Linked DNA regions of Schizosaccharomyces pombe. The protein of the gene in region 1 interacts with the protein of each later gene in a pairwise test. Each region holds a gene or a part of one and is shown on either strand. Other genes may lie near its edges. The genes, in order: pwp1 and mlg1.

Region 1 (12,542 bases):
CGTGAAGGAATAATAGTTCCTCGTTATTAACCTACTACTGTATAGAGGCTTTTGAGTTTTTAAGTAAGTGTTTTATAACTTGGCGTATGATGCTTTAACGTTTGTTTTACAATGTGTGATGTTTACGATATTTTTTATGCGACTTGAACTAATATTAATGAAAATTTACGAATCTGAGATTAATTTATTACTTTTTTATGCAGTCGAAAACATGACTTATTAATTTTCGTTAAATTTGCTCATGTTCTCAAATTAAAGTACAAGGAATGCAAAAATGTAATGACATTTCTATAATTCTTAGACAACTTTAAACTTCCCAACGTGGAATTGTTTCTTTCTTTGCTAAAGGAATGGATGATGTCTCCTTCGTACTTACTTCTTTCTGTTGTGCATAGATTTTATTTTGTTCTGAGCTTTAAAAAAATATAGCTCAGTAAAGAGGGATTATCAACAGTATAGGTTTTGTACTAACAATAAAATCTTCTGTGCCTTTTTTTAAGTATATGCATTTCCCTGTTCTGCTTTAATTTTATAAGATTATAGTCATCTCCGTCCGAAGGATGACAGTGATTTATATCTCAAACTATGCTTCTCAAACATGATTGATCTATATAATAATACAAGTAATTTCAATTGAGTGGTTTGAATTTTGCATTTTTGATGAGGACTTCACACACTACAATACTTTTTAGAAATAACTGATGGGTTCATTAAAGTTCTTCAATTCTCATTATTCGGTAGAAGTTGAAGATCTGTAAAATTTTTATAAGACTATAAAATGATGTCTATTTAAACAAATATTATCAGAGATTTACCATAACTGACATTAATAGGATAAAGATTATAAGTTAGCAGATATTCACTATGACTATTTGCCCAATAACATGTTTTGTTGAGATGTCTTGGTATTTCAAGTTAAATATACTGATGAAAATTGTTTTAGAAATATTCAATAATAAAGAAATTGTTATTATTGTAACATGAATTTAAACCATCACCTATCAGTACAAACGCAGCCCAACGCTTTACAAAGGGCTGCACGCTAACACTATGCTGGGAGTTTATAAAGTCATCATATATAATCATATCTTCGTCAGATGGGTTGGTAATCTTTGCAAGATAAATTTCCTTTCCCCTTCATGCAAATTCCTTAGAATTCACCTCACTCTGGTCAAAGAATATATTTTTTTGGATGCATAGTCTTTTCAAGCAGCTAGTTTTTTTCCTGGTAATGACGCTAACTGCAGCTGACAAGGCTGCATTTGATGCGGAATCCATGCTAGAAGCTCCTAGAAGGTCAGCAGTAGTTAGCAATCCTTTAGGGAATCTTGGAATATTTATAGAATCGAATTATTCCTTTGCTGATCACAAATATAACTCTGGAATTTACCTTTTGAATGAAAGCACTAGAAACCATCAAGAGCTTTTAGTACACGGCAAATCAAACAAAGCGCTCACATGGATTACTGATTCAGCTTTTTTATATGCAAGAGAAGATAATTCTAGCTCATCGAGTATCCTTCTTTTTGACGTTAACAATCGATCAGAGCGTATCATATATAATCATAACTCTTCAATATCTGATATAAGGATCGGAGAAAAGAACAACCACTATAGAATCGTTTTTAGTTCAGTGGATAATTCGTTAGTTAAGGGACCTTCAAATGTTCACGTATACGATCACTTGTTTGTTCGACACTGGGATAGATGGAACACAGGATCTAGGAATACCCTTTATTTTATAGAGCTAGATAAAAAAACGGAAAACTCAAATTATTTTGAAATTTCCTCAGAAAAAGCTATTGATTTGTTGAAGGAAACTGGCTTGGAATCTCCTGTCGAACCCTTCGGAGGTCTTTCTGACTTTGATTCTAACTACGACAAACTTGTCTTTGTAGCAAAAGACCCGAAATTAAATCCGGCAACACAAACAAAGACAGTTGTTTACGAGATTAATCTGAACACTCGGAATCTGAAGTCATTGAGCACTGCGAAGGGTGCATGCTCTTCACCAAGACTAGCCAAAGATGGAAATCATATTGCATGGCTTGAAATGCAAACACCACAGTACGAAAGCGATCAAAATCAAATAATGGTATATGAGTCCGAGTCAGGCGCTAAAAAGCACATTGCTCGTCATTGGGACCGATCGCCTTCCAGCATTGAATGGGGGGTTTTCAAAGGAGGCGAACCAGGTCTTTTTGCTATTGCTGAGAATTATGGGAAGCAAATTTTGTTTTTTGTTTCTATATTTCACCACCAAGTTATCCCAATGACAGAAGAACACTCTGTTTCTTCTATTAGTGTCCCTAAATCTTCTTCCTTATGGCTTACGAAGTCATCTTTAATCAATCCCCCTTATTACGCAAAGATTAACGTTGAAACGTTAAACGAAAGTGTTTTACTCGAGAACAATGTCGGATTATCGCCAACTTCTTATGAAGAAATTTGGTTTCCTGGCACTCATGGTCACAGAATTCATGCATGGATTGTAAAGCCCGAAAGTTTTGATAAATCTAAAAAATATCCTGTAGCAGTGCTTATACACGGGGGACCTCAAGGTTCTTGGACAGATAGTTGGTCAACGCGCTGGAATCCTGCAGTTTTTGCTAATGCTGGTTTTATTGTATTTGCTCTTGATCCTACTGGATCTACAGGTTATGGACAACGTTTTACCGATTCCATTGCTCTTGATTGGGGTGGTAAGCCATATAAAGATATTGAACTTGGTGTTGAGTACATAAAAAATCATCTTTCCTATGCTGATTCTGAAAAAATGGTTGCCTTAGGTGCTTCCTATGGTGGTTACATGATTAATTGGATTCAAGGACACCCTTTAGGTCGTCAATTTCGTGCACTTGTATGTCATGACGGGGTATTTAATACCCTCAATACTTTTTACAATACTGAAGAACTTTATTTTTCTATTCACGATTTTGGGGGTACTCCTTGGGAAAACAGAGTTATCTATGAGCGCTGGAATCCTTCAAATTTTGTGAATTATTGGGCCACTCCTGAACTTGTAATTCATAGCTCAAAGGATTACAGGCTTACCGAAAGTGAAGGAATAGCCGCATTCAATGTTTTGCAGTACAAGGGAATTCCTAGCAGATTACTAGTCTTTGAAGACGAAAACCATTGGGTCATTAAACCTGATAATTCCCTACGTTGGCATAAAGAAGTGCTTTCGTGGATTCTTCACTATACTAAAGATTGTAATGCCAATGAAGATGAAACGTTTTAGATTAATTTTAATAATACAACTACGATTATTTAATAAATTTTTTTTTGTTTCTCTCGATCTTTGTTAATTCTATTACCGCGGATAAAAAGTTGCAACCGCGGTTTATCCGAAGACATATCAAATTTAGATCTTTGCTGTAAGGGAAATCGAGTATTCACCGATCCAGCCATTCCTTAGCCAACATTGCATTAAATTTTTAGAGAGTCGATTTAGACTTGACTACCTTTAATTTACTTAATAATGCCGGAATACGAGATTCAGGTGCCTTCTTATAGAGCTGCTGCATTAACCGCCGAAGAACGTACACGATTACTTGCAAGACCCATTCAGAACACTCAAAAAATTCGTACGATTGTCCAACCGATAATCGAGGATGTTAAATCAAGAGGAGAAGCTTCTCTAATAGATTATGCTTCCAAATTTGAAAAGGTTCAATTGAAGTCGGCTGTCTTAAAGGCTCCGTTTGACGACGACTTAATGAAAATATCCCCAATGATTAAAGAGGATATTGATATTGCTTTTAACAATATTTTTGCTTTCCATTCATCACAGCTGCGTCCTACAATTGCTGTTCAAACCATGCGTGGTGTAGTCTGTCAACGGATGTCTCGTCCTATTAACCGAGTTGGTCTTTATATCCCTGGAGGAACTGCAGTGTTGCCATCTACTGCTTTGATGCTTGGAGTTCCGGCGAAGGTAGCTGGCTGTCCTCATGTAGTGATTTCTACGCCAGTCCGAAAGGATGGTACGGTTGCGCCTGAAATTGTATATATTGCAAATAAAATTGGTGCTGAGGCTATTATTTTGGCAGGCGGGGCGCAAGCAATTGCGGCCATGGCATATGGAATATCCGGTGTTCCTAAAGTTAACAAAATTTTTGGCCCTGGAAATCAATTTGTTACAGCTGCAAAGATGCATGTTCAGAATGATTACGGGGCTTTAGTTGCTATTGATCTTCCTGCTGGTCCCTCAGAAGTTTTGGTAATAGCAGATGAGACCTGTAATCCTGAAAGTGTTGCCTTGGATTTATTGTCTCAAGCAGAGCATGGTTTGGACAGTCAGATCATTTTGCTGACTGTCTCTCTATCTCCCGAAATGTTTGACCGTATTCAAAAAGCAATTAATGATCACGCTTTACGACTTTCTCGTTCGTATATCATCAAACATGCTATCAAGAAGTCGGTTATTGTACAGGTTGACAATGTTGATCAAGCTTTTGAATGGTCTAATTTGTATGGTCCTGAGCACTTGGTCTTGCACTTAAAAAATGCTTCTTCATACATTCCCAAAATAGATAATGCTGGTAGCGTTTTCGTTGGTCCTTGGTCACCTGTAAGTATGGGTGACTATGCGTCTGGTACCAACCATACGCTTCCTACATACGGGTACGCCTCTTCTTATTCTGGCGTTAGTACCGATAGCTTCTTAAAATATATCACTACCCAAGAGCTCACTGAAGAAGGAATCCAGCGGTTGGGCCCTACTGTTATTCGTCTTGCTGAGTTGGAGGGTCTCACTGCGCATGCCGATGCTGTTCGTGTTCGGGGAGTTAGACTTTGAAAGGGGTTTCCTTTTTACGTATACCTAATTAAGGATTCGGCTTAAAATAAAATTTGTGTTTGGTACTAAATTTGACAAAGTATTTTTAGGTTATGATTTATTTTATTTTATTTTATATTTTTCAATTTAATTTTAATAGTATGAATGGGCATCCAATATACTGAGTAATTATCCATTAATTCAACCTGAAGTTAGTTGGTGTCGCGTCGCGTGTCTCGACTTTTTTCTAGTGAAAACGAACATTCCCTTTAACCAAACCTGCAATTAAGCGTTACGGGAATTTTAACGGAAACGATCATTAAATAATGAGTTATTCAGTTTCAGCTGCTCAATTATGGTCTCGCAAGTTGGCAATGCAAGCCGAAGATATGCAACAGCATCAAAAGTCACAGAGCAATCAAATTGCTAGTTGTTTGGCTGAAATGAATACCAAACAAGAGGTAGTTAATCAAACGATCGGTCAACTAGGACGATCTATTAGTGAAGTCCAACAACAAAATTCTCAACTAGGTAAGTGAGATTTAGAATTTCCCAAGTGGTTGGAAGTCTGACTTAATAGTACTACAATCTTTGAATCAAATAAACATGTCTATGCAGCAAGTGGCCTTAGGGATTCAAGATTATGCCAGTCGTATCAATAAGTTGGAACAGACCATGTCAGATATGAATTTGAAATTTGAAGCTTTACAAAAAGAACAGAACAGTAATACAAAAACACTAGCTGATTGCACAAGCCAGATGACTATAATCACTAAAAAGCTAGATGCAGAGCTGAAAAAGCGTTATATGACTACTAAACAAACACGAACAGTACAAAATCAAACTATGCCCAGAAGTAATACAACAACGAAAAAGCGAGTACTGGCTATTGATTTCTTAGCAGATGACGATTATTAAAATACTTAGATCAGCCTCATTTAAAAGCTTTTCTATGATATCAATTAAAATTAAACACCAATCAAACCGTTTTTTCATAGTGAGCGATGCAATATATTCACTTTCAGCACATATTAAACTTGCCTAAACGCTGTTAGTATGCAATGAGCAAAAACTGTTGATAGACTTATGAAAGCCCAAATGATTGAATACTAAAACCCCTTGAGTTTACAAAGATTTCTCAGAATGAATTAGCTTGGTCACCGAGCAGAACTCTCAGACGGCACTTCCTATATAAAATGTTAAGCTTCTTCTTTTGTCATCACAATAGAATTCAAGGAATTTTCAGTTTCTTTCATTTTTGAATACCTACCTAGTTGAAATTTTTTATAGACAGTCCTTTTTAAAAAACTTCAAAGATTTTTACGAAATTATCTATATGCACTAATATAGCTGTTTTCAGCGTTGATGGCACTACGTACGTTTAGCGGTTTGCCAAATTTATAGCTTCGAAACAACGTGACGGCTTTTATCAACTATACGAGAGTCGAGCTTATTAAACATAAGCTTTCGTTAAAAAAAAAAGATAAAAGCATGAATAAAGCTACATATTGTGATTTATGGATTGGTTTACTGGTTTTGCTCAAAATCATAGTAAAAGGGTAGTTTCCTATTGTTGTGTAATCGATAACTTTTTCTAACATTTTGCCCTTCTAAAACAACTTTTCATATTATAAGCTATTCGTTTTACTGTTTAAGTTTCAGTCCAAAAATTAAGACTAATTTAAGAAGAGAAAATTATAGGTGACTATTTGTTTCCTTGTGTTCGTTTGTTGTATAGCGAACTTTATAGATTACAGCAGTTAGAGCTGCGGCAAATTAGTTGACTTGTGTTCTTTGCAACATTAAACGAAAACAGCAGGCAATACACAAATATACGTCCGTAGCATTTATCGTACAAACTTTCTAACGAAGCTAGTATTGCAATTTTTCTCCATATAAAAATTCAATAAAATTAATTAATAAAATTCAAAGTATTGTTTTGTGTTTATTCAATCTTGAAATCATTTAAAAGTTAAGTAAAAACCAAAAATTCCAAACTCCATCTTAATGTGATGCTTCTGACACTCATATTGTTACCGCCCTTTTAATTCACTCAACTTAGTATTCTTATGCAACGTACTGTTAGAAGTGTTTACACTGTGTTGCGTGCGACTGATTTTATATGTTGGAAACAAATTTTAAGATCCATTAATTTTACTTAGACACCAGTGAGAACAAATACAAATATTAGAAAGACTAAAAAATTTAGTGACCGATGCTATTAGATTTCTCAAATAAATATTGTTATGTCAGCAATACTACACTACGCTATGATACACTACTTGCGTATCACTATATGTCACATGTTCTAATTATATATCGTACCATGTATGATACGATATTGAGATTGATCTTAATGATGATCTATTAAGATCTATATTATCTGAATAATATAAATAGAGCTACTGCTGAACTGAGGAACGAGGTTCAGTTATGAGCTATATTAGTGATAGGTAACATTATAACCCAGTTAATACAATACCTATTCTCAGTTGCTACTTATACAACCTGTGTATTGTAATATAATAGATCACAAGGAAAACTCACCGCAGTTCTACGTATCCTTAAATCAGATACCAAACTGCGTAGCTTACATGTTAGTTAGTTTAACATACCGCATACCGTTACATCGTAGCTCGTAAGAAATACTCGCCGTAGTTCAATGTATCATTAAACAGATACCAAATTGCGTAACTGACATTAACTTGAATTTACGATGAGTAAAAATACTTGTTGACGTAAATTAAGTTAACGCATTTAGTTTATCTACATGAACGTTATGGCCTTTTGGTCGAAGAAAAATGTTTTCTTAAGTTTTGAAATCTAATTTAACGCAGGTTTACGCTAAACGGTTAAATAACGTTTTTTGTAAGACACGAATATTTTCAGTTCTTCTTTTCCCAAGTAGCGGTGCACGATTTATGCCATTATTTACTCGTATCAATACGTTGACATTTACTTAATCTTTAAATTTTTAATCTCGTTTAGATCAAGAGTGGTGTGTTTTCTGGTTTAAACATTAAAGTAAAGATTTGCGGAGTAAATATTAAGAGAGGTGCAACATGTCAATAGTCTCGTCTGTGGCTTTTGTTCCTCGCGGTTATGCATCAGAGTTTCCCAAGAGTTACGATATTGATGAGATAGAGTATGAGCGAATTAATCAGCTTTCAAAGTTAAAGCTCGAGGATGCTCGAGCTGATCTCCAATCTTCTATGGAAGACTCAAATAAAGCCAATGGGAACGGTGAAGAAACTACAGATGGAGCAGAAGGGGTGTTGCAAACAAGTGAAGAGGTAGATGATGAATTGAAAGTATACAATTTGGATACTTACGATGACGATGAGGAGGAAGCTGAGACAGAAGGGCCCGCTGCTATGTTTAGCAACATTCGTGGATTGGCTTACCATGAAAATGGAGAAAAAGATCCATATATCACTATTGATCCTCAGGAACAGGACGATTTGGAAAGAGAGGAAATGCAAATATTACCAACAGACAGCCTTTTGCTAGCTGCGCGCACAGAAGATAACTTGTCCCACGTTGAAGTGTATGTATATGAGCCAACAGAGGAAAATCTTTACGTGCATCATGATTTTCTTCTCCCTACCTTTCCTCTGTGTCTCGAATGGCTAGATTATAAGGTGGGTACGTCTGACAACGCTCCTGGAAATTACGTTGCTGTCGGCACGTTTGATCCTGAAATTGAAATATGGGATTTAGACATCATTGATGCAGTTTACCCTGCAGCCGTGTTGGGTGCAGGTGCCTCTCAAGTCAACAAGAAAAAGAAGAAGTCTAAAAAAATAAATGATAGTTATCACACAGATGCTGTTCTTGCTCTTTCTTCGAACCGAAATGCTCACAATCTTTTGGTTTCTGGTTCTGCAGATACCACACTAAAGTTGTGGGATTTGAGCACATGCAATTGTGTCAAATCTTTCACGTATCATTCTGACAAAGTTTCTTGCTTAGATTGGTATTCCAAAGCTCCATCCGTATTATTGTCAGGTAGTTATGATAAAACTGCAAAAATAGCTGACCTTCGCCTTGAAGAAGCTCCATCGAGTTTTCAAGTTACTAGCGATGTTGAAAATGTTGCCTGGGATCAACATAGCGAAAACAACTTTTTCATTGGCACTGATAATGGCATAGTTTATTATTGCGATGCTAGAAATCTCTCAAAGTCCGTTTGGCAATTGCAAGCCCATGATGGACCTATTTCTTGTCTCAGTGTTAATCCTTCGGTTCCTTCTTTTGTAGCCACAGGCTCCACTGATAGAGTGGTTAAACTCTGGAACACTTCCGATAGTTCACCGAAGATGGTTGTTTCTAGAGATTTGGATGTTGGACGTGTGTTTACTTGCTCCTTTACTACGGACGAATCAACTGCTTTCCATCTAGCTGCCTCCGGAAGCAAAGGAGTCGTTCGTGTCTGGGACACTGCAACTAATCCTGGTGTTCGAAAAGCGTTTGAAAGTAGAGTTACTGAGGAAGTTACTAAAAAAGAGCGCATCGTTCAGTTAGAAGACAGAGGTGCCGGGGAGGACTCTTCTGATGATGATGACTATGAAGATATAGAAGACGATGATGATCAAGATGCTGAGATGTCCTAATTCTCTTGATTTATTTTAAGATTATAGCTTCATGTTTTCAAAAACTCTCCTAAGAGGCCGCTTCATGGGTTTAAAGGGCTCACTAATTGTATAGAGGATTTTTTGCATAATTCAATATTTGGAAAAAAGGGATCAGGTTAGTTACAATAAATTTCATTTGATTTGGTGTATGATGGTCTTTAAACTTTAGTAAATTCATCCACATTAGTGGAGTAGCAAATGTATGCATTAAGTGTATATTGGGTTTACCGTTACTTGGTAAATTTTGCCTAACAATTCTTTTAATTCATATGACAATTTTTATTTAAACATTGAAGTACTGATAAATTGTTAATTGTCAATTACTCAGGTTCATGATTTTGCACCTTTGGGGGGCCGGAGGGTCTGAGTAAGTTCGCCTTCCGCCAGCAACCTTATTGATTTAGTAGGTATGCTTTCACATAATCAAAATGATTTGCTATTTACGAAGTTAATAGATAAATTAACTGATTATATGTCCAGTAAAGATGCAGCTACATCGCTTGCCAGTCGAGTTTTGACAATTGCCAAGGGTAGCTCGTCCAGCACCGAGTTTTCTAATGCATTACATACATTTGGACGATTTTCCGATAATGACAGCGTCCTTATTTACGATTTATGCAAATCTATAATTGGTTTAGAGACAAATTTGGGGATTTCTAAAGATAAACTTCCTGGGAATGATGGGTCTCAGGTAGCTGGATTAGTTTTGTCTAATCGTTCTGGTTTGAAAGGCCGAGAACCCAAAAAATCCCAGCTTGGATTGGATGTTCTTGCTGTTCAAAAAAAGAAAGAGAAATCTCAAGTAGAAGGGCGCTCTGAATTATCCCAAGTAGAAAATGATTCCTTGGAGTCTATAGGAAACTATGACAGGGTGGAATTTAAGAGACCTAAAAATCCACATGAAAAACATTTTCGTCCCCTTCGTCAACGGTCATCTGTTGACGATCATCAAGAGTTTGAAAGTGAAGATGATAAATATCGTAGAAATTCTTATTCTAGCTGGTCTGGAAGTAATTTCGAGTCTTCCAATGGATCTAATCGTCGGCGGTATCGAACTCAAATGGAAGAACCTTTATCCTCAAAACGCAGAAATCGGTTTGGTAATGGTTCTCGAAGAGACGTCGATAGCTCTAAATATTCGCACGATAGTGATTATTCTTATGGTGCACACAGCTCTTGGGATGCCCGCGACGTTGAGTACCCCGAAGAAGATCCCGAGAGTAAAGCTGATCGTCAACGTTGGGAAGAGGAGCAAGCTCACTTGGATCGTGATTGGTACATGAATTCCGAGTCGCAAAATTTACTTGGCGATGAAGTTCACAATCCATTCTCCGATTTTGAAACTGTCGAAGATCGTGCACATGAAGCTGAGTTTATCGAAAAGCAGAAAAAGCATTTGTCAATTGAAGCATCAGACAGATTTAAAGAAAATTCTATGTGGGAAAAAAATAGAATGATCACATCTGGTGTTTCAAAAGCTCCAGGGCTCGAATCTGATTACTCCCTTATGGAAGAGAGGCGTGTTCACTTGCTTGTCGATGAACTGCGTCCTCATTTTTTGGATGGGGCCGAATTTTCTTCTAAGAAAGTCGGTGATATTACATCGGTTCGAGATCCACAAAGCGACCTTGCAATAAATGCTAGATTAGGATCTCGTCTTGTACGTGAACGAAGAGAATTTCGGGAGCGTCAAAAAGCAGCAAGTGCTGCTACATCCCTTGCTGGTACATCTTTGGGTAACGTGATGGGTCTCAAAGATTCTAATGATGAAGATGCCAAGGCCGGTACCACACCTGTTAAAGTAGCTGGACGTTCTGAACAGTCGAATAAGAAGGATACTGAGTTCGCTCGCACGAAATCATATAGAGAACAAAGAGAGTTCCTACCTGCCTTTGCCGTGCGTGAACAGCTTCTTTCTGTTATACGTGATAACCAAGTTCTTATTGTAGTTGGTGAGACTGGTTCTGGTAAAACTACCCAATTAGCTCAATTCTTATATGAGGATGGCTATCATAGAAATGGCATGATAGGGTGTACTCAACCTCGTCGTGTCGCCGCCATGTCAGTTGCAAAAAGGGTTAGTGAGGAAATGGGTGTTCGTCTAGGTTCAACAGTTGGTTATTCAATTCGTTTCGAAGATGTTACTGGACCGGATACCGTAATTAAGTACATGACTGACGGTGTTTTACTAAGAGAATCCTTGATGCAAAATAATCTAGAAAAATATAGCGTCATTATAATGGATGAAGCACATGAGCGATCCCTTAATACAGATATTTTAATGGGTTTACTAAAAAAGGTGTTATCCAGGAGAAGAGATATCAAGTTGCTCGTTACATCCGCTACTATGAATTCCCAGAAATTCTCTGATTTTTTTGGAGGCGCCCCACAGTTTACAATTCCAGGTCGTACTTACCCGGTGGATATTATGTTTGCTAAAGCCCCTTGCTCTGATTACGTTGAAGCAGCTGTACGACAGGTATTGCAGATTCACCTCTCTCAGCCTGCAGGTGATATCTTAGTTTTTATGACAGGGCAGGAAGATATTGAAGCTACATGCGAGATCATTGCAGATAGGTTAAATCAGTTGCATGATGCACCACGCTTGTCCATTTTGCCTATCTACTCACAAATGCCTGCGGATTTACAAGCAAAAATTTTTGATTCCGCCGAGCCAGGTGTTAGAAAGGTTGTGGTCGCAACTAATATTGCGGAAACTTCGCTCACTGTGCACGGAATATCATATGTTGTAGATACTGGATATTGTAAACTGAAAATGTATAATTCTAAGTTGGGTATTGATACTCTGCAAGTTACACCTATTTCGCAAGCTAATGCGAATCAAAGAGCCGGTCGTGCTGGGCGTACTGGACCCGGTATTGCATATCGCCTTTATACCGAAATGGCTTATATTCGTGAAATGTTTGAAACGACCTTACCTGAAATTCAGCGTACCAATCTATCAAACACAGTTCTTATTTTAAAATCCCTTGGTGTTGAAGAAATTTCGGATTTTGATTTCATGGACCGTCCTCCAAATGATACGTTAATGGCATCTCTGTATGAATTATGGACTTTAGGAGCCCTCGACAATTTTGGAAAACTTACTACTTTAGGAAAGAAAA
Region 2 (12,297 bases), 1.7 Mb from region 1:
TTTTGTAAAGAATCGATGTCAAGCCAGGCGGATTGAAGAAACCTTGAAATGAAAAGAGGAAAATGTAAGGAAAAAGATAATGGTTTGAAGAGAATTTCTTCGGAATCGGAAGTTTGGAACTTTTTAGACGTGACAGTTTCAGAGTTAAACAAGCAAAAGCGCTCGCCAGGACAGACCGTGTCTAAACGACTGCATAAAAAGCAAAGGGTCGTTAGTAATCCTGATTTGAGTTTACCGTCTTCACCGGTAAAACAAATTTTAAGAAATGGACTTCAGAATTCAAAGTACGGTTCTCATAAGACAGGACTGGAAAGGTCCGCGAGCTGTAGTAGTATTGATGCTTCCGCAAACCATTCTTCCACTACCTATCGGGAACAAAGATCGTATTTGATGGAGGAAGGATTAGATACTCAGCCAATTGTACCCCGTGAAGTATCCTCTGGTCGAGAATTGGATTCAACCAACCATACTATTGGTACAGAACGTGCTTTTTTGATAGAGGAAGACGTATCAGAAGATGATGAAATTCAAATGAAAAGTATACATGAACTTCGCTTTGCTGGAGAGCAGCAAAGGATCGTTGATGAAATTGAATACTTAGTGGACGGAGTGACTTTCTCAGGTAACTCTTCTGCTTCTCGCTATTTGAGTTTAATAGGAATCGCTGAAAAAATGTTTGACAATTCATTTCGTTTATGCTTAAAGTCGATACGGGATGTCTTCTTGCGAATATTTGAAGAAATTGATCCTAAAGATACTTTACACACTTTTTTGCAGATTTATATATTTGCAACTATGGCTAATGAAATGGATTGCATGAGTTCCTTGCTTGATGCTTACTCAAACAATGTTAAACTTCTTTTGCAAACGGCTATTACTTTAGAACCGCAGGTACCGGTTTCAATTTTGGCAAAAAGCTTACCAAAAAGTGTAAAGGGAGCCGTTCAAGAATTCGTTATAAAGGCAGAGCTTACTTTTAGTTTTAGCAATGAGTCTCTTGCTTCTTCTGATTCTATCAGTCTTGCAGCTATCGCTCTTATGAAGACGTCCTCGGGAGTTTTTGCGGAAAGCGAGTTGTTTACCGAATTAATCAATCTTTTAATAGAAAAATCCTACCCCATCTTGAAGGAAAACGATGGAAGCAATAACTTCTTACTTCATGCACTTTGTAGTTCTTTAGAAAAATTTACGGATTTCCAGGGATCAGAAAAGATTCAGAAGGTTTCACAGATCTTATCCTCAAAGTTACAAATTTTAATTGATGAACACAATGAAACAAATTCACCAAAAATTGACGATACAGTTGTCCATGCATGCAGTGAAAAATTGTTGCGTACTTTGATTCAAACAGTTAATTCTAACAGTGATCATGCGTTAGCGGTTTCTAAATCAGAAGTCCCATTGTTTGCTTATAAAATTTTACAAAAGTTTTCTAATTTTTCGTCCGATGATGAAACTACACGAGAACTAATTATCTTAATCCTTGGTCTTTTACTAGGGCTAGTTGAGGAATCTCATGAGTTTATTCAAACTATCACTCATGTTGAAGGTAAGTTCCTTTTATTAATATTTTTACTAATTCTATTTAGTTTCTTTCGGAGCTTCAGCACTCGATGTCCTCATTTCGTTTTATCAAAAGAACGTAAGTTGTACTACTTCTGTTGTAAGACATTTCTAACAAATGTAGGAAAGTATCGTAGAAATTAGTGGATATGTCGTAATGATTTTAAGCCATTGCTTTTTAAATGATCCCAAAGCGTTTGCCCAACTCAAGCCTTTGATATCTCAGTTTTACGAATCTCTACATAAATTTAAAAATTTTCATTTGAAATTGAAAGAGGAATTAATGATGATGGGTTCTAATGGACTAGCCATTGTTTCTATAATTGATGAACTACATAAATCGTTGCAAGACTACTTGCGCAGTGACTTGGTAAAATGACCTTTGCGGCGCGCTGGGAACGTGACATCCACAACATCGTTGCTTTCACTCACTTTTTTTTACGATCACTCTATAGTTAATAATTTGCCTTTTTAAATATTATAATCTTGAAATTTTCTAATTTAAACAATGGCTCCTATTAAATCTCGTAGAATTGCTGTTCTTGGCAGTCGTTCTGTTGGAAAGTCCAGGTAAGCGTTTGATTGAAGTTTATGCGCAAATAGGTTTACTAACCATTTTTTTTAAATAGTTTAACGGTGCAATATGTTGAAAACCATTTCGTTGAATCGTATTATCCAACTATTGAAAATACATTCAGCAAGAACATCAAGTATAAGGGTCAAGAATTTGCTACTGAAATTATCGATACGGCTGGTCAAGATGAATACAGTATCTTAAATTCTAAGCATTCCATTGGAATCCATGGCTATGTACTCGTTTACAGCATTACTAGCAAATCTTCTTTTGAGATGGTTAAAATAGTTCGTGACAAGATATTGAATCACACTGTATGTCAAATTATTAGAATTTTTAAATTTTTTACTAACCTACTTGCTATTAAGGGTACTGAGTGGGTCCCCATTGTGGTTGTTGGCAATAAGAGCGACTTGCATATGCAGCGTGCTGTTACCGCTGAAGAGGGAAAAGCATTGGCCAATGAATGGAAATGTGCATGGACAGAAGCTTCAGCTCGCCATAACGAAAATGTTGCTCGAGCATTCGAGCTAATTATCAGCGAAATTGAAAAACAAGCAAATCCTTCCCCTCCTGGTGATGGAAAGGGTTGTGTTATCGCCTAAGCTTCTGCTTGAATTTATCATATTATGGATTAATTTATTTTAACTGAATTAACGATTTTATCTTTGCTAATGCAAGATATGGGCTTACATTACATGAGGTGATACTTTGCACACAAACGTGTTTTTTTACACATGGGTTTACAAGATTTCGACTCTTTATTTCAAATATACAAGTACCTAAACTATGGTTTTAAAATTTAGTCAATGTAATACATAGTGGAGAAAGTACAGCCAGACATTGTAGACGTAATTTGTTGAGTTAGCTCTTCGGAAGTTTTAAACTAACCAAATTAATTTTTAGACATAGTATTGTTTATTAACATCTATACAAAACTATTTTGAATATTTCCCAAAATCGACCTTTTACCACTTTTCTTCATGAATCACTTAAGCTTCAGCTTTCCGCAATCGAAAGTGAAGGATATCCGTTTTACCTGGGACAATAACATCAGATTCGCCGACGTTTCCATTTACACCCACAATAGACATTGCTTCTCCACCCAATACCATTTGAGATACCTGTCCAGCAGTCGTTCCTTGCTTCACTAAGATGCAATCTCTGAAAACACCTTCATTAGGAGAGTTTGCAAAATTGTGAACGTTTTTAACGGGAAAAACTGGAATCAAATTTAAAAGTTCCATTGCCTTTGCTAAAACATTACAAACTCCAGTTGAACCGTGTCGAAATAATACCATGTCTTGGAGGTCTGCGATACGGGTTTTAAGATTTTCGCTCAAAGGTTTCAAGCCAGAGTCAGGAAAATCGTCTAGCGTATCAACAAATTCAGAGCCCTCCTCGTACTTAACAAACCCCTGTTTTGCCAATCTTCGAAGAAAAACTTCGGATATGGCTGAAGCCAGTACGAGTCGATTTGGATCTTCTTTTCTAGCTATTTTAGATATATTTGCATCCGCATCAGGATGATCAATTTTGTTAAGAGCAATAACGGTAGGAAACTTGATATCAACGAATCTGTTAACCACTTTTTCAATTGTATCATCATCCCATTTCTCCAAAGGTGTATCTAAATGTAGCGAATCTAAGACTTTAGCTGTAACAGCAGGGGTACTTCCATATCCAGAAAACTGGGATTGTAGTGTATTGACAGGATTGGCTTTCGTAGCAATATGCCTACGAACTATATTAGGCCATTTCTCTCTCAGATTGTTTCCGATCCATGCAGTTATTTCCTTATACAACCAAGCGATATCTACAGAAGGATCATATCCACGACACACTTTTCCTTCCGCATCAGTAGTACCTGAGACATCTACCACATGGACCAAAGCATCGGCATGCCGTAAATCGTCTAAAAATTTATTGCCAAGCCCCTTTCCAGCATGCGCACCTGGAATAAGACCAGCTACATCAAGCAGCTGAATAGGAATTGAACGTACACCATTTTTGCAACCACCATAAATTGGTTTACATTTGTCCTGTAGTCCAAATCTTGAGCACGCGCATTCTATTTGAGCATAGCCAATAGCCCGGTTTGGCTCAATAGTGGTAAAAGGGAAATTACCAGTTTTAGCAGTGGCATCTGTCAACGCATTCAGCATCGTAGATTTACCACTGGAGGGCTTGCCAACAAATCCAATTAAAATGTCTCTACCCATTATTTGGAAACCTTAGAAGAAGTATGTGAGAAAAATTGGTACTGAAATCCAGGACCTACTCGTACTCTGCAATCTGAGAATTAGAGTAGTGGTAAGGGTCGAGTGTTTCGTAATACCTGCTTTTAGGACTAAAGATTTAAAGGATTGTTTGCTTGCACATTTATAATATTTTTTTTTTAGCATAATTTATTTTATTGTTATTATGTTATCTTCGACATAGTTTGAAACAGTAGATTGTAGGCCGTCTACAGGCAAAGAGGATGGTTGTAAGGAGAAAAAGTGTACAGAATAATTTATCTCGAAATCTCAAAGCTCAAGAGAAAGCTAATGACTATAAAACTATCGTCCGCAATGTATGCGGTAATTCCTTAACACTGAAAATCCAGTTTGCAATCTGTTAAAAAATGTTCATGAAAATCAGTTAATCTATGTAGTGTAAATGGGTAACTTTTCAACCATATGGTTTAGGGAAATGGAAAGAAATGGGTATAAATAACAGTTTTTTCTAGTGAGAAATGAATAGTTTGAGGAACAACCCAGCAACAATGCACGTGAAAAGTACGGAAAACAAAGAAAGAATTTCAAGTCTGTGCTTCAATCGAACAGTCGTATGCAATTTCTTAGGGCCCGGAAAATTCCCTGTTTCAAGAAGCGTATCGATAAGTTTATCTTTCTCATACCATCTTTGATAAAGCCAATCCGTAAACTGATCTTCTTCAGTGGGAATTTCCGAAATTGGGAAGCGACGAACGTGAATATGAAGCCTTTTGATGGGGACTCCTTCAAAAAAGAGCTTAGGTAAAGAGAAAGCATCGGCGGCATATTTCTTAGGAGAGGGATCAGAAAAATAAAATGTGTAATCGTACAAATAAGTCATCGAATCACGAAGCTGACTGATACTATAAAAGAGCCCTCGCACACGTGGGAGCATTAAATGCTTTGGCATTTTGACTCCAATTTTATCGGCATACACCCTGCTCCTTTGATATGTGCTTTCAACCAAGTTGGTTCCTTCTGGGAAGAGAATGAGACTGACGGAATCACGTACATTGCGAATGAACTTGAAATGACGAGACATAGTCTCGTAGTCTTTGTCCCATTTGCGAGAAAGGAAAATGAATCTAAACAATTGCATACCCCAACCTATAACTGGCAACCATTTGAGAGAGTTTTTTAACATAATATAAACATGACCATGCTGTTTAGCAGTGTACGATAACCACCAAACGTACATCCAGTCCGAGTAAAGTTGATGGTTTGCGATAACTATGTTGCGTTCAGCAGCAATTGTTTCCAAGCAACCATTTCTATCCAAATAAAACAAATTTCGAAGCTCGGGATCATAGGTGAGAGTTACAGGAGTCGGACTAAAAAGCTGGACCAAAGCGGTAAACAGAATACCGGCGAATGATTTTGTAAAAGCAATATATTTGTTATAAAGCTCCTTGTTGACAAAATACAGAGGAGTTCCAATAACTTCCGAGGTATAAATGGTAACTGAACCAACAGCCAAACATAATATGAATGAATACTTGCGAATCGCAATTCTGCATGTCATGTTGTCAAACCTAAATGAATTAAAGGAACCTAAATCAAATCTCAAGAAATAAAAGACTGTTAAATAGAATCCAGAGAAAGTTAGCAAAGTCGGTTTTAGTGATGCCCTTTCGCGTTTCTCACCGCACAGTAAAAGTCGTACACGAACACTAAATAGACACCAATTTGAGCAAAAAAAATCCCAAAAAGAAAATTAAAAGCTCTCTGCTTTCTTTTTAATTTCTTAGCCGCACGTTTAGCACCAAAGTGTAATTCAGGGAATGTCAGTGGTTATAGGCAGTGGGTAAAGAAGTAGCGATCGTACGTTGTCAATTTGTAAAAGTGCTCGGACCTAAACATACGGTCGTATGAATATGATAGGTATTCCAGTAATTAATTTGCGCTTAATATTGGTTGGCTGGATGGTCTTGAAAGTTGAACGGTAGAATGACCACGTTTGTTTACGAGGAAGGGACGATGAGTGGAAGGTTGGCACAAACCAAGCCTACCAGAACCCAACTCATACCAACTTTTTTGCATTTTCTTTCATGTTTGGATTTAGTAATAAGACAGCGAAGACATTCCGTGTAAGGAAGACTGAAGCGGGAACGAAGCATTATCAACTACGGCAATATGCTGAAGCAACGCTGGGATCTGGCTCTTTGATGGAAGCAGTAAAACTGCCCAAGGGAGAAGATTTGAATGAATGGATTGCTATGAACAGTAAGCTAAGATATAAAATTGACACTTCAAGAACTTTTATTAATTGAATACTTCTAGCAATGGATTTTTATACACAAATTAATATGTTGTATGGTACAATCACTGAATTTTGTACGGCGGCTTCCTGTCCTCAAATGAATGCTGGACCAAGTTATGAATATTACTGGCAGGATGATAAAATATACACCAAACCCACTCGCATGAGTGCTCCCGACTATATTAACAATCTGTTGGATTGGACTCAAGAAAAGTTGGATGACAAGAAGCTCTTCCCCACTGAGATTGGTGTTGAATTCCCAAAGAATTTTCGCAAAGTGATTCAGCAAATATTTCGAAGGTTGTTTCGCATTTATGCTCATATTTACTGTTCCCACTTTCACGTAATGGTAGCAATGGAGCTTGAAAGCTATCTGAATACATCATTTAAACACTTTGTATTTTTCTGTAGGGAATTTGGGTATGTGTTTCAATTTACTTACTTAAAGATGTTAACAACAAATTTCAGCCTTATGGATAACAAGGAATATGCACCAATGCAAGACTTGGTAGATAGCATGGTTTAAGAACAGTTTTGTAGTTATTCAGGAACAGGAAATGGGAGGTAAACTCGGTTCCCAAACTTACCAATTTAATGTTTTATTTTATCCCTACCATTACCATTTTATCCAGACCTTAGCACAATTTTTTATGGAAAATTTCTTCTTTTCATTTCAATCATTCACTTGAGTGATTACCATAAAGAATAGTTGCTAAAATTACTCTTTCTACTCCTCCACTTTTTTCTTATGACACTGCATTCTTTTAACTACTTTTGAAAAGTGTGGCATATCGCCTTTGCATAGGCTACTTGTGCAAAATATTCTCGCATTCTCTAAAGTGTCTATCTTCATACAATTCATTTTATTTATAACATTTCATGTATCATATGTCTCTGGAATCTTTATTTCAGGTTTCTGTTAAATACCGAAAAAGACTGCATCGTTATTTGAGAAACTACTTACTGAATGGTGGTGGATGTGAGATAGTAAATGTGCGAAATAATCTGAACTTTTTAATTCCCTATTATTTTAGTCTTTTTGCTTTTCATCTTATTTTTTTTTTTTAGTTTTGATGATCTGAGGATGGAAAGAAGGAAAGCAACCGTCCATGTGGGTAAGGATCAATGAATTCATCGTTGTTATGATATATCTATGAGTTTCATGATACCGCTTCCTCATATGGCCATTTATCTACGATAAATGTTTGAGGTTATGATTTAACTTGTTGAATATTATATGACGGCGATACTTCGTTTTAAAAGATTGTTGTTTTCAAAGATCTGTTTGCTAACTTTCTTTTTAGGTAACTTGGCTCCATCTGTAACAGAATCTCTTTTATACAATGCTTTCATTCCGTTTGGAGAGATTATCTCAGTTGCATTACATCGTAAAGAAAAAGGTAAAGTAGTCATGTATTGGTGTCATGTTGGTAAACAACTAGTTTTGATGCCATGAAAATGCTCAAACATTTTAAAAGTTTAGCTAACTTTCTAGCTGTGGACCGTTCCTACGCGTTTGTAGAATTTGATGAACCAGAAGACGCTAAAGAAGCTATGGAAAATATGAACTATTCTATTCTCTGTGATCGTTGTATCAGAGTATCGCCTGCAAATTTTGCGTTATCAGCTGAAGAGACAGCAGTTCCAGATATAGGTAAGAAAAATAGCTGCTGAAGAGGCTTTCAATTTTTTATGCTCTTTACTAATTTACGTAGCAATGTTGCATCCTGAGTCAGCGGATTTTCAAACTTTCAAATCGACTTCTACTCCTACCTCTTAATTTTGTAAGATATTGTTTTCTTTGTAATTGCCTCACCTTATAATAAAGCAAAATTGGGCATGCGAGTGACTATAGGTGAATTGTCTCCTTTTAAGTACTATATTTTTAAAGAGAATACCTCATCCTCCCTCCTTTTTTATCATTTTTATTCTTTACATTTCGAACCGACACCCATTCATCTTTTGTTAATGGAATTGCTATGCATTTAAGCCTTTTTGGAAAGCAAGGCTTGGTATTTACGATTGACGCTTCAACATTACTTTAGCATTGATTTCTTTATTATCCAAGAATTCATAGTTATTGAATGAATATACATACCTATACATATATCAGTTTTGCAAATCTTCCCCTTTGCGCTTTAAAACTCTCATACTCAAAATATCATTTCATAGTGCACTAAGGGAATTTAAGCCCGTATATTCCGTAACGTTATGTTAAAGTAATAGGGTAGGGTTTTGTGACCTGTTGTGACTGCTCAATTTTACTATAAATGGATGTACAAGAGTTTACCATTCCCCATCTTTGTGCACGGGTATTACGCTTATCAGTGAGGAACTTTTCCTAGATGGCGTTATTGCTAGTTGAAAACTATTACCCTGACCGCTCCAACTCTCGTTAAGAGTTTTGGGAATATTTGGAAACCAACTTATTGCAATAACTCATATGTTTACAATGTATGTCTTTAGCAATTTGGTGGTTTTTTATTTTTTGTAAAATTAATTTTATATGATTTTGTGTATTTTTTATTAATGAAAGCACCAGTGAATTTCTGCTAATAGTAATAATGTGCTTACCGAAATAAGGAGCTAAAAGCATTCAGTAATCTTTTGCTAGGCAGAGATCAAGATAACGTAAATTTTGTTATATAATATGTTACGCTTTCCTTGTTTTATAGACCTGTTAGCCATTAGTAGTGCACAAGTGTTATAAATAGTCATTGTTTATTACTTGTGAATCTGAATCTAAATTACCAAGAGATCAAACCGAAAAATGATTTATTTCATAGCGTAAACTGAAGTGTGAAATGTAAAGTCGGGTATGATAAATATATCTAGCTTTCTGTTGAAGAGAACACATTAAAAGTATTATAATGGATAAAAGAGAGAAATATTTTGAGCAGATGTGGGAAAACATACAAAAACTCAATCGATATTTGTGAAACATTACTATGTATTTTACAGGTAAATAAAAAGATATACAATGAGGGCTTTTTAGGCAACTTCCAAAGCTTGAGCAAAGTCGGCGATAATATCATCGATGTGCTCAATACCGACGGCCACACGAATAAGATCCTTAGTGACACCGGCAGAAATTTGCTCCTCATCAGTTAATTGTAAATGAGTGGTATAGGCAGGAGCGATAACCAAAGTTTTGGCATCACCAACATTGGCCAACTGACTAGCAAGCTTTAAGGCATTGACTACCTTACGACTTTGATCAGGGCCACCTTTAGCGCCAAAGCTGAGAACGGCGCCGTAACCATTTTTCAAGTACTTCTTGGCAAGTTTGTGAGAGACGTGAGATTCAAGACCAGGGTAAGAAACCCAGTTAACCTTGGGGTGCTTTTCCAAATATTTTGCAAGAGCAAATGCATTTTGAACGTGACGCTCCATACGAAGAGAAAGCGTTTCAAGACCTTGAAGAAGCAAAAAGACACCGAATGGATTGGCATTGCCACCAACATCACGGAGAGTTTGAGTACGGCAAGCAAAAGCATATGCCAAGTTACCAAAAGTTTCAGTAAAGACCATGCCATGGTAACCGGGATGAGGCTCGTTGAATTCAGGGAAACGCTTGCTGTTCTTCTTCCAGTCAAACTTACCACTATCAACAATCACACCGCCAATAGTAGTGCCATGACCACCGATCCACTTAGTGGCAGAGTGGGTAACGATATCGGCACCGTGGTCAATGGGACGAACCAAATAACCACCGCCGCCAAAAGTGTTATCGACCATTAAAGGCACACCAGCGGCATGAGCAACCTCAGCGATACGCTCAAAATCGGGAACGTTGTACATGGGATTGCCGATGGACTCAACGTAAACAGCCTTTGTGTTTTCATCAATCTGAGCTGCAAGATCATTAGGATCATCACCATTGACAAACTTGGTAGTAATTCCCAATCTAGGCAGGGTAACCTTGAAGAGGTTGTAAGTACCACCATAAAGGTAAGAAGTGGAGACAATGTTATCACCGGCCTTAGCCAACGTGGTCAAAGCCATGAAGAGAGCGGAAGTACCGGAACTAGTAGCGATTGCAGCAGCGCCATGCTCCAAGGCGGCAATACGTTTCTCAAAAACGTCGGCGGTGGGATTCATCATACGCGAGTAGATGTAACCTGGTTCCTGTAATCCGAACAAGCGGCCGCCATGGTCGCAATCACGGAAAACATAGGAAGTAGTAGCGTAGATGGGAACGGCACGAGAGCTGGTAGCAGCATCAGGCTCTTGGCCAGCATGTAATTGTAAAGTTTCGAAATGTTCACTCTCGACTGGCATGTTGAATGTGAATGATCTTTATTTTGATGATGAGTTTAAAGTGCTAGTAAAAGATATTTAACAGTTTGCAACAAAGATCAATTTCAAAAAACCAAAAGCAGCAATTTAAAAGAGAAAATGACAAAAAAAAAAGGAAAAAAAAAAAAGACGAGTCGAAACTCAAAAAAATTTCAAAAGCTAATACAAGTGAAATGCAAACTGATACACTAGCGCTTATAAATTATTTTTCCTTGCTTTCAAGCTCTTAGCAGTCGAAAAACTAAGTGCCGATACCGCTCATTTTATAGGAAACACAGCGAAGAAGGATTAGGAAATTTCTGCTCGGAATTTCACCATCGCAATAAAATTTGTCGTGCTACTTCCGGCACAATTGTACTTAATCACATCAGATCTCTGTTGCCAATGATTTGCACGAAGACTTGTTTTTTACCTAAAATAGTCAAAACCGAACAAAATTTTTTATTGCAGATCTTTTCATAACGCCGACATGGAGAAGAGGGAAGATCATCCTTCAGGATCGCCCGTGCTGATTGCGAAAGTTAAGGTGCCGTATTAGCTGCAGTATCGTAATTAACGTAGTTTACTGAAACCACTTTTCGTACAATTGTGCTGAGCTGTAAAGTATGGGGAATTACAGTGTCGTGCACTAGAAGAGAATAGCATACAATACTAGCAATGCACTCTACATGCATTCGGATCCAGTAATGCATAGCGATAACAAACAATAGCATATTGCAAAATATCAAATTTAAAACAACTTTTTAACTTCTTTAAAGCTAAATTGCAAACAGTGCGGTATTCTGCGTTTTTGTGTTAAACAATGCATAAAGTAATAAATATACAAAGTTCTGTTCTTCATCTTCTTTGCTAGTAAGTGGTTAGAATTCGCTACAATGAAGATAACCGTGCAATAAACGAAGAAAAATAAAGAAGTGTAAATAAATAAAGCAAGTAATTAAATTGTTTTTTCACGAATAAAAAAATGGAAGCCTACAGCACCCCGGATTCCCATGTTGTCTCCAACCATAGTACTAACGAGGCCCTCAGACGCTTAACTGCAGTGATCGGACGGGAACTGGTGTTTTCGCCTAGGTATGGCCGTAGACAGTTGTTTGAATTAATTGTAAATTTTATAGCTAAATTAAAAAGAAATTGCAGTGACACCAGTTGTAATATGACACATTTCTGTTTGATTCTTCAATGTACAATGGATTGGCTCAATTTCACTTTTTGAAAAACTTTTTTTATTAAAAAATATAATGTTCATTGAGTATAAATAAAATAGAATTCTCGTATAATGAGTGAAAAAATTATTGTAAGATCTGCCCACACCAGGAATCGAACCTGGGTCGCATCGGCCA

The links.
Region 2: the proteins of pwp1 (region 1) and mlg1 interact in a two-hybrid assay, tested with the Schizosaccharomyces pombe proteins (one large-scale study listed by BioGRID).

Annotation. Positions count from the first base shown.
Region 1 is NC_003423.3:2,156,433-2,168,974, forward strand, and holds pwp1 (WD repeat protein), read left to right. Parts: upstream 1-7,685; 5' UTR 7,686-7,845; coding exon 7,846-9,396; 3' UTR 9,397-9,564; downstream 9,565-12,542. Other genes in the region: atg2402 (autophagy associated protein), read left to right, coding at 1-13; ppp16 (acylpeptide hydrolase), read left to right, coding at 1,193-3,244; histidinol dehydrogenase His2, read left to right, coding at 3,485-4,804; meiotic recombination protein Rec15, read left to right, coding at 5,110-5,314, 5,364-5,701; SPOM_SPBC1711.15C (uncharacterized protein), read right to left, coding at 5,681-5,779; ATP-dependent RNA helicase Prp16, read left to right, coding at 9,827-12,542.
Region 2 is NC_003423.3:464,272-476,568, reverse strand, and holds mlg1 (1-acylglycerol-3-phosphate acyltransferase), read right to left. Parts: upstream 5,918-12,297; coding exon 4,865-5,917; 3' UTR 4,429-4,864; downstream 1-4,428. Other genes in the region: wpl1 (WAPL family protein), read left to right, coding at 49-1,549, 1,590-1,642, 1,688-1,942; Rheb GTPase Rhb1, read left to right, coding at 2,072-2,133, 2,193-2,451, 2,506-2,742; SPOM_SPBC428.15 (Obg-like ATPase), read right to left, coding at 3,130-4,359; Sid2-Mob1 kinase complex regulatory subunit Mob1, read left to right, coding at 6,444-6,618, 6,676-7,075, 7,124-7,181; SPOM_SPBC428.12C (peptidyl-prolyl cis-trans isomerase E), read left to right, coding at 7,740-7,770, 7,960-8,055, 8,151-8,309, 8,371-8,435; homocysteine synthase Met17, read right to left, coding at 9,647-10,936.